Macaca fascicularis: one gene and its partner. The protein of the gene in region 1 purifies or fractionates together with the protein of each later gene. This does not show direct contact. Links are inferred from orthologs where the notes say so. Each region holds a gene or a part of one and is shown on either strand. Other genes may lie near its edges.

Region 1 (4,303 bases):
GGGAAACTGGAGCATACCTGGTATAATCAGGCAAGTGAAGGAACTAGGAACAAACATCAATGAAAGACCTGGTAAGATTTCACTTAGAACTAAAACACATATGCTTGCAGATCACTTGAACACTGAAGTAGGGAATAAGTCAGATTTGCTCTTAGTGCTCTCAAGAGGACTAGGATTAATGAATAAAATTTGAAGACAGCAGACTCTGACAAAATTTATAGGGGTAACTTTCTAGTAAGACCTGTCCAAAAACAGAATGGGTTATCTCAGAAGACTGCAAGATCTCAAGTACACAGGTGTTCAAGAACAACCAGAGAAGATTCAAGTATGGTTTAAGATTTCAGCATAGCTGAGTGCTTATACCGGATGAATAACTTTTCAGTTCTCTTTCAGTTCTCTTAGTGATAGAGTGTACATGATCAAAATTTTAATGTAAGGAAGATATTAAGGAATCTAGTCAGAATTTAAGGCACAAATTTTGCTCATCAACTTTCTCTAGCACGTTTTGCAAAGGCATAGGGCCAAAAACCACATCAGACATAAAAGGTCTTAAGATATCGAAATGTTTAATAGCCACTCACCTGCCTTGTTACTGTGATTTCATCATGAACCTCAAATCCTAAAGGACTTTGCTTTTTGTCAGAATTATCAAATGTGATTGACACAGAGGCTTTGGTAATACCAGCCTGCCCATTTTTGTAAACTAAATCTTGTAAATTAGAAGCTCGAACCTAAAATAAAAGAAGAAAAGTGTATCAATTACAAAACTCCCTACAAAGCAGCACTAAAAATGAATTCCTTGCTGTTGGAAAACCCACCAACATAGTGTCCACTAAGCAGACAAGGATAGGCAGCTGCATACTCTGGCAAGGAAAATAGGTAACAACCTGAAATGGACACTCTTCTCTATAGAACCTTTTCAACTCTGAATTGAATTGTTTCCTATTCATTTTTTAACAAAAAGTTACTTGGCAAGATATAAGGAAAGACAGTCCCAATGATTTTCACTAGTCATTCAATCTATTAGCAGGATTTGAAAAGGCATCATTACACAGGGTTGAAAATACTCTGGAATGAGACTACTTTACAGTCAGAAAGCCTGAGTTTTGAGGCATTGTTACTTATAAACATCTCCAACATAAACATCTCTATGTTTCTATTTTCTCATCTAAAGGAGTAATAATAGTTTCCTTAAAAGGTGACAGTGAGGTGTAATTTACAAAAAGTATAAAAACACAAATGAAGAGAATATTGTTAAGTCTCCAAAGTTCAGGGAGGATTCTCCTGCCCACTTATATTCAAATAAATCAGAAAGTTTACACTTTACCTGAGACAGGTTGGAGATGCCCAGCAAAAAGCAGATGGAGTCCAATATGTTTGATTTTCCACTACCATTTAAGCCAGTGATAGCATTGAAGAGGGGGTCAAAACCATTGACTTCGGTTCTCTGAGCATAGGACTTGAATCCCTCTAGAATAATTGACTTAATATGCATTTTCGATACTGTCTTGGGTCAGCAAACCTCTGACAGGAATCAAACAGGCCACAAACCAGTTCTGTACGAAACAGAAATACCACCACCTAAGTGGAATGTAAACCTGGAATCATAATGAACACTAGGCAAAAACGGTAATGATAGGGTAATAGAAATAAAACAGCCACTTGACAAACTATCTTGTCTGATGTAAAGACATCGTTCATCTACTCAAAAATATAACAGAGTTAGCCACTATCTGGAAATTAAACCATTCAACTGGGAAGTCTTAACTATTTCTTACACCTGTTTTTCCAGGCTTGCCTTCTACTTTCATCATACTCTAGCTAATAAAGACTACGGATTATTTCATACCCCATTATCTTTGCCCACAATGTGCTTTTTTCTGATACTGACATAGCTTACTCTCTACTGCACTCACGTCTTTGCTCAAATGTGTCACCCTACTGGAGTCCTCCCTGACCTCCCTGTGTCACCTCTCCACACTTCTTCACTCGGCTTTTTCCTTCATGGTACTTAAAACTGGTATTAGACGGTCATTACTTGTCTGTAAGTTCCTGTAGTATCTTCACCTACGTTCATCATTGCATCCCCGAATTGTGCTTGACTCCGGGAGGAGGGGAAGTCATCTAAGTATTTACTAGGGATGAGATGTATCTCATATTCTCCACCGTCTTGCTTTTACTCAGGCTGTTACTTCGCTTCTTGAGGCCTGTCTACACCTCTTCGCCCTACTCCAAGGCCGAATAGGAACTAGCCTTTATTTCTAAGGATCACCTAAGGTCCTCCTCCCCATAGCTCCCGCGTCCCGCCTCCCGCCAGGATGTCTGGCCGGGCTCAACCGGCCGTGCTCACGCACACGCCTCACCGCTGCCTCAGGCCAGGGCTTGACGCACCCCAAAAGCTCCTCCGGGTCACAAAGGCGGGGAGCAGGCCAACTCTCTAGCCGCGGCTGCTACGAAGAGAACTTCACCATAGCGGATACAACACCTGCCGCACCGCTCTCAACACCCGCGCCGGAACTATTTATTCCTTTGAATTTCGGCGCGAGCAAAGGACCCCACCTCCATTGCTTATTTCCTGTGCTGGTGCCTAGGAGCTGCCTGTCTTTAGGATTCCATTTTTCCCCTACACGCGAAGGATTAACGCTTCAGGGCAATAGGACGCAGAGTCTCGATAATGGCAGCTCCGGGGACTCCCAGGCGCGGGCCTGGGCACTACAAGAGCAGGTAGTATATGTTCACACCGGCGTCCGGCACGCTATGGTCAGCCCCACACCTCGTCCCCAGGTCCTCGCGCTTCGTCAGCCCCGCCCCTCCTCGGGTCCTCTAGTCAGCGTTCGGCGCCCAGCAGACTCCGCCTTCTCGAGTTCTGGGCGGTGCTCACCGCGGCTTACTACTCTTCACGCAAAGCGACAGAATCAGGAGGTGTAGAGGCATTCTTTGAGTGTTCTTGTCGGTTCTGTTTTGGAAGCCTCTGAATCTTCTTGGGTTGGCTCAGATTGCTGCAAAGTAAAAGCTGTATTTCGGTGGGGTCGGAGAGGCACAGTCCTTCGGAGGACTCTGGCCCGCGTCCTGGCTCGGTCCCGTGCTGCCTTCGGACTTCGCCGAGCGTTTTTATCTGAAATTTTCACGTCGGGAAGGGATCGTAGTCTACTGAGAGCTGTTCTGAGCCCAGAGGAGTTGTGTGGTGCTAAATAGCTGTTCACCTCCCTTACACTGGAAAGCGTTGTAATGATAAGCCTACCTAACCTGTCAGGGATTTTTTCTGGAAACCTTTTAAGACAGTTCATATTTATTGAGTTCTGAGTGTTAGGCTATGTTCCAAGGGGCTTTTTAAAATCCTCGTAGCAACCCTGTGAAATCAGAAATTGCCCTCGTTTTACAAATGAGTTGAATGAGTCCAAGTAAAAGGTTAAGCAGTTTGTCTAGTAAGCTGGGATTTGTTTCCAGTCTAGTTCCAGATTGCATGCTTTTAAATACATACTAGGCTCCATGCATAGAATCTAGTACTATTCACCGATCCTGTTAATTGGTATGTATTGTTCTTTAGAAAGAAAAAAGGTGTCAGCATTACTTACGTTTCCAAGCACGTTGATACTAAAGAGTTAGGAAGGATTTAACTCCGAATGGGTATGGTGTTTTTCTAGGTGAGGTACAAAAACATGGTGTGGACAATGCCATTTTGGGATGGCTTGATCCTTTTGGGCTTCCATAACAAAATACCATAGACTGGGTAGCTTATGAACCACAGAGGTTTATTCTTCACATTTCTGAAGGCTGGAATGTCACAGAACAAGGTGTGTCTAGGAAGGAGTGCTTTCTGTTCAGTGGATAGCACCTTCTGACCCTGTCCTCACATGGTGGAGAGGCAGAGGCCCTCCCTTGGGCCTATCTTATAAGGGCCTTTCCTTTCTTCCCATTCCTCACTTCCCAAGAGGCCACTTGCCAAAACCATCAGTTTGGGGGTTAGGATTTCAAAATGTGAAGTTTGAGGGACATATTTAGACCATAGCATAGGGCGTGTTTTTAAAGTTGCTTTCTTGGCCCTGGAATGGCAATGCAGTCGTCTGAACTGGTCTTAATCTACCAGGAATGGGCCTAAATTTTGAAAATATTTCTCGTTAAGGGAGTAAAATAAGTTTTATGGGTTTTTTGTTTAAGAAAGGATTCATTTATTTACTCTGATATGCTTACCCACTTCTGTGATGTCAACCATGGGTAGTGACCTAACATTAATTTACTTCAGCAGATATCTTTGTCTGCCTTGAATCCTGCATCCCCTAGGCTCCACAGCTATTCAATTGTA
Region 2 (3,516 bases), on another chromosome or scaffold:
ACACACCCTTTCATGTGGACACTCAGTCCCTGCAGTCCTTGGCAGTTTTTTCTGGGAATGTTTGGAGAACATTTTTTGGGAACCCATCATGTTCCCAGCTGTCCCACGGAGGCCGTCATCTCTTCCTCTCCTCCAGAAGCCAGCCCTCTGAACACCCTGTTACATTGCCCTCAAGTGTGACTGTACCAGAAGCAAAGCCTCAGCAGAGCAGAGCCAGGCAGATGGGGAGGACGGGCCTGGTCACGAGGCAGGGAGGGGACGGGTGGTGCTGTGTGCAGGGCAGGGGCTGTGGACGGTGAGCTGAGCCCGCTCACCTGGCTGTACATTTTCCTACGCCACCCAGCACCTCACGTCCAGGCACAGAGTCCTCGGAGACTGGGCTTCTCCAGAGCGGGGGTCTTTCCAGCTCGCCTGAGATCAGGTGCTTCCCATTGTTCTTGCTGTCTGGGGTGTGGTGATGCCTTGTCAGTCAGCATGTGACCCTTGGGTTTTTTCTGTTGCAGGCAGATTTGGAGTCACTTCTGCAGACACCGGGTGGGAAGCCTCGTGGCTTCGGTGAAGCGGCTGCCCTGCGAGCCTTTGGCCTCCACTGTCGGCTGAGCATCCATCTTCAACACAAGGTGCGCCTGTTCCTGGCCCTCTGCTAGGATGAGATGCAGCGATCTTTTTGTTACTGATTTATCTTCTTGTTTTTGGACAGTTCTGCTCAGAAGGAAAAGTGTATTTGTCCATTTTGGAAGACACTGGCTTTTGGTTAGAAAGCAAAATTTTATCTTTTATTCAAGATCAAGAAGAAGACTATCTGAAGCTTCATAGGGTCATTTATCAGCAAATTATCCAGGTTAGAGGTCTGAAGACACAGAAACCTTTCTCTTTACCAAGTTTGTTATGTTTCAGTGTTTCATTTTCTACTTTAGAGTGGTGATTTTAGACATGAGTGTTATTCTTAAAAACTTACAGTAACATTTATCTAGCTTTCTAGAGTTTATCTTTTCGCAAAGCATAAACTTCATACTTCTAGTGTAATTTTACACATTACATGTAACAGCTGTTCAGTTATGTTTGTGGAATTACATAAAATATGTCTCTAGATTTATTATGAAAACAGCAAGAATTAATGTATCTTTATGAAAATTCCTTTATAAAACATCTTTGTAAAAATCTGCTTTGTAAGATAACTAGCACATGGATAGGAGAAGCTTTGTGAGGCTGGATTTACTCCCTTTTTTTAAATGGCCTTTGTTGCTAAGTTGTGTCTGTCTCTTACAGACCTACCTGACTGTGTGTAAAGATGTTGTTATGGTAGGCCTTGGTGACCATCAGTTTCAGATGCAACTTTTACAGCGGAGTCTTGGAATCATGCAAACAGGTACAGTCAGGGCTGTTTTAGAGCAATAAATACTCAGAACCAGTCCTTCCCTCCCTCCCTCCTTTACTGTGTTAACTCAGAACTCTCACTTTTAAGTGACTGATTATAATGCAACCTAGTATATACCAAAAAAGGGATTTTTTTGGGTGATGCAGCCAGGAAATTCAAAGGTGTTTCTGGGTCAGATATAACTGCATCCAGAGTTTGTGACAGGGTCCTTGGGATTCTGCCTCTCCTTGTGGTCAGCTTCGTTGCCAGGCCGACTTTCCCTGTGGATTGGGCTAGTGGCTATTTCCTGGCATCTGTGTGGGAAACCATCACCTTTTGGCTCTGCTCTGGCCATGTGCTCCGTGGGTGGGGGGGTGAGTCAGGAATTGTTAAGTGGTACCCCACCAGGACCCCTGAAAGTTGCTGTTACCCCAAGGAAAGGATTAGCACAGGGTAACCCATGGCAACAGTGAGTGAGAGGACAGCCTTCGAGTCACATCAGATGATGACGGGAAAGGGTGTGGGGCCAACCCAGGGGGAGTGTACCTGGGGCCATTCCATATCTCCTTGGCCTTCTGATCACAGTCTGGTAAAGAAGAGTACTGCTGAGCTGGGATCCTGGTCCCTGGCCCCTGACCCCTAGCCCCTAGCTCTTAGCCCCTACTACTTAACCCCTACTCCTTAACCCCTAACGGCCAGCCTCCCACCCCACTGCTTCTGTGGTGTAGCCGACTGCTGTGTAAACCTGTTTCTGGATGGTTTTTAAGTGAGTATCCCAATATCCCAGTGTTGCATTTGATTCTTACTGAGATCTGTAAAAGCCTCAACATTTGATGTAGACATTTCTTTAAGCCTAGTTATTTTGCTAGAAGAGATTGAAAATGATAACATTTAGTAAATTCAACATTAAGTTTTGAGAATTAGATTAAGTTGGTAGTCCAATTTCTAGTGGATCCATCTGTAGTCTCTTTCCCATAGCCTTAAATATCTTCATGGCAGATTCTAGAGGGGTCTGTGTGTGTGGATCCCCCCAGTGTATCTCTCTTTATGACGTTACAACTGAAAGTAGATGCTAGGAGAACACTGGAGCCAGGGTACTGGGCAGTGTCTTAGTTAATCTTTAATTATAAGCAAAATCATCCATCATTTGTTTAACAGCTCCAAAGCTTAATAGTAAATATCAAATAGACCAATATTATTTGCTTTAGCTTTTTTGTTTAATGTTTTTTTTTTTTTCAAGACCAAGTCTTGCTCTGTCGCCCAGGCTACAGTGGAGTGCACTGGCGTGACCTCGGCTCACTGCAACCTCCACCTCTAGGTTCAAGCAATTCTCATGCCTCAGCCTCCCGAGTAGCTCGGATTGCAGGCACCCACCACCGCGGCCAACTAATTTTTGTATTTTTAGTAGAGGTGAGGTTTCACCATCTTGGCCAGGCTTGTCTCAAACTCCCGACCTCAAGTGATCCGCCCACCTTGGCCTTTCAAAGTGCTGGGATTACAGACGTGAGCCACCATACCCAGCCTGTTTAATTCTTTATAATTCACTTCTATTGTGAAAACAGCATTTTATACTTAAGCTTAATGATTGAAACAGTCAAAATTATTTATTTTTTAAACTTCACTTATCATTTAGGAATTACTTTCCCATGAGGACCGAATCTACTTTTATTATTTATAAAATTTACTTTTTGGAGGAACTAATTATACATAGAATTCTAGATCTCCAGTGTAGCCAGTTTCATTATATAGGTATATCTGTTCTCTAAAAATAGAACAGAACGAACAACTGTTCTCTAATTCCGGTATTGAAGGAGCCACACTGCTGAACTTCTGTGTGTTCACGTGTGCAAGGAACACAATTTTTAGTTTAGTGACTAAGTCTAATAACTATTACTGTTACTGAAGGTATCAGTTTTATAAATTGGACAAATGTCATACTTACTTATTTATTTTGATTAGAATTTAGGTTAACCTGATCAGCCTGGCTTTTGGTATTGGCTCACCAAATACCAAAGTGTAATAATCTCTTTTTTGTTATCATTGTATACATGTGTTAAGTGAGAAATGTGTAATGATTTCAACAAACTTGTGTGATTAGAAAACTGATATATTCCAATTTTCTTTCTAGTGAAGGGATTTTTTTATGTTTCATTACTTCT

Evidence for each region.
Region 2: the proteins of SMC2 (region 1) and NCAPG2 purify together in Homo sapiens (affinity purification with western blotting; 4 studies listed by BioGRID and IntAct, with this or other methods). This does not show direct contact. The link is inferred for Macaca fascicularis from reciprocal best matches to the Homo sapiens genes SMC2 and NCAPG2.

What each region holds. Positions count from the first base shown.
Region 1 is NC_088389.1:54,029,381-54,033,683, forward strand, and holds the start of SMC2 (structural maintenance of chromosomes protein 2), read right to left. Parts: upstream 2,801-4,303; 5' UTR 2,560-2,800; intron 2,532-2,559; exon of another isoform or gene 2,355-2,531; intron 1,557-2,354; 5' UTR 1,496-1,556; coding exon 1,328-1,495; intron 732-1,327; coding exon 582-731; intron 1-581. UniProt on the Homo sapiens protein: Central component of the condensin complex, a complex required for conversion of interphase chromatin into mitotic-like condense chromosomes.
Region 2 is NC_088377.1:199,917,478-199,920,993, reverse strand, and holds part of NCAPG2 (condensin-2 complex subunit G2), read left to right. Parts: intron 1-503; coding exon 504-620; intron 621-700; coding exon 701-841; intron 842-1,269; coding exon 1,270-1,369; intron 1,370-3,485; coding exon 3,486-3,516. UniProt on the Homo sapiens protein: Regulatory subunit of the condensin-2 complex, a complex which establishes mitotic chromosome architecture and is involved in physical rigidity of the chromatid axis.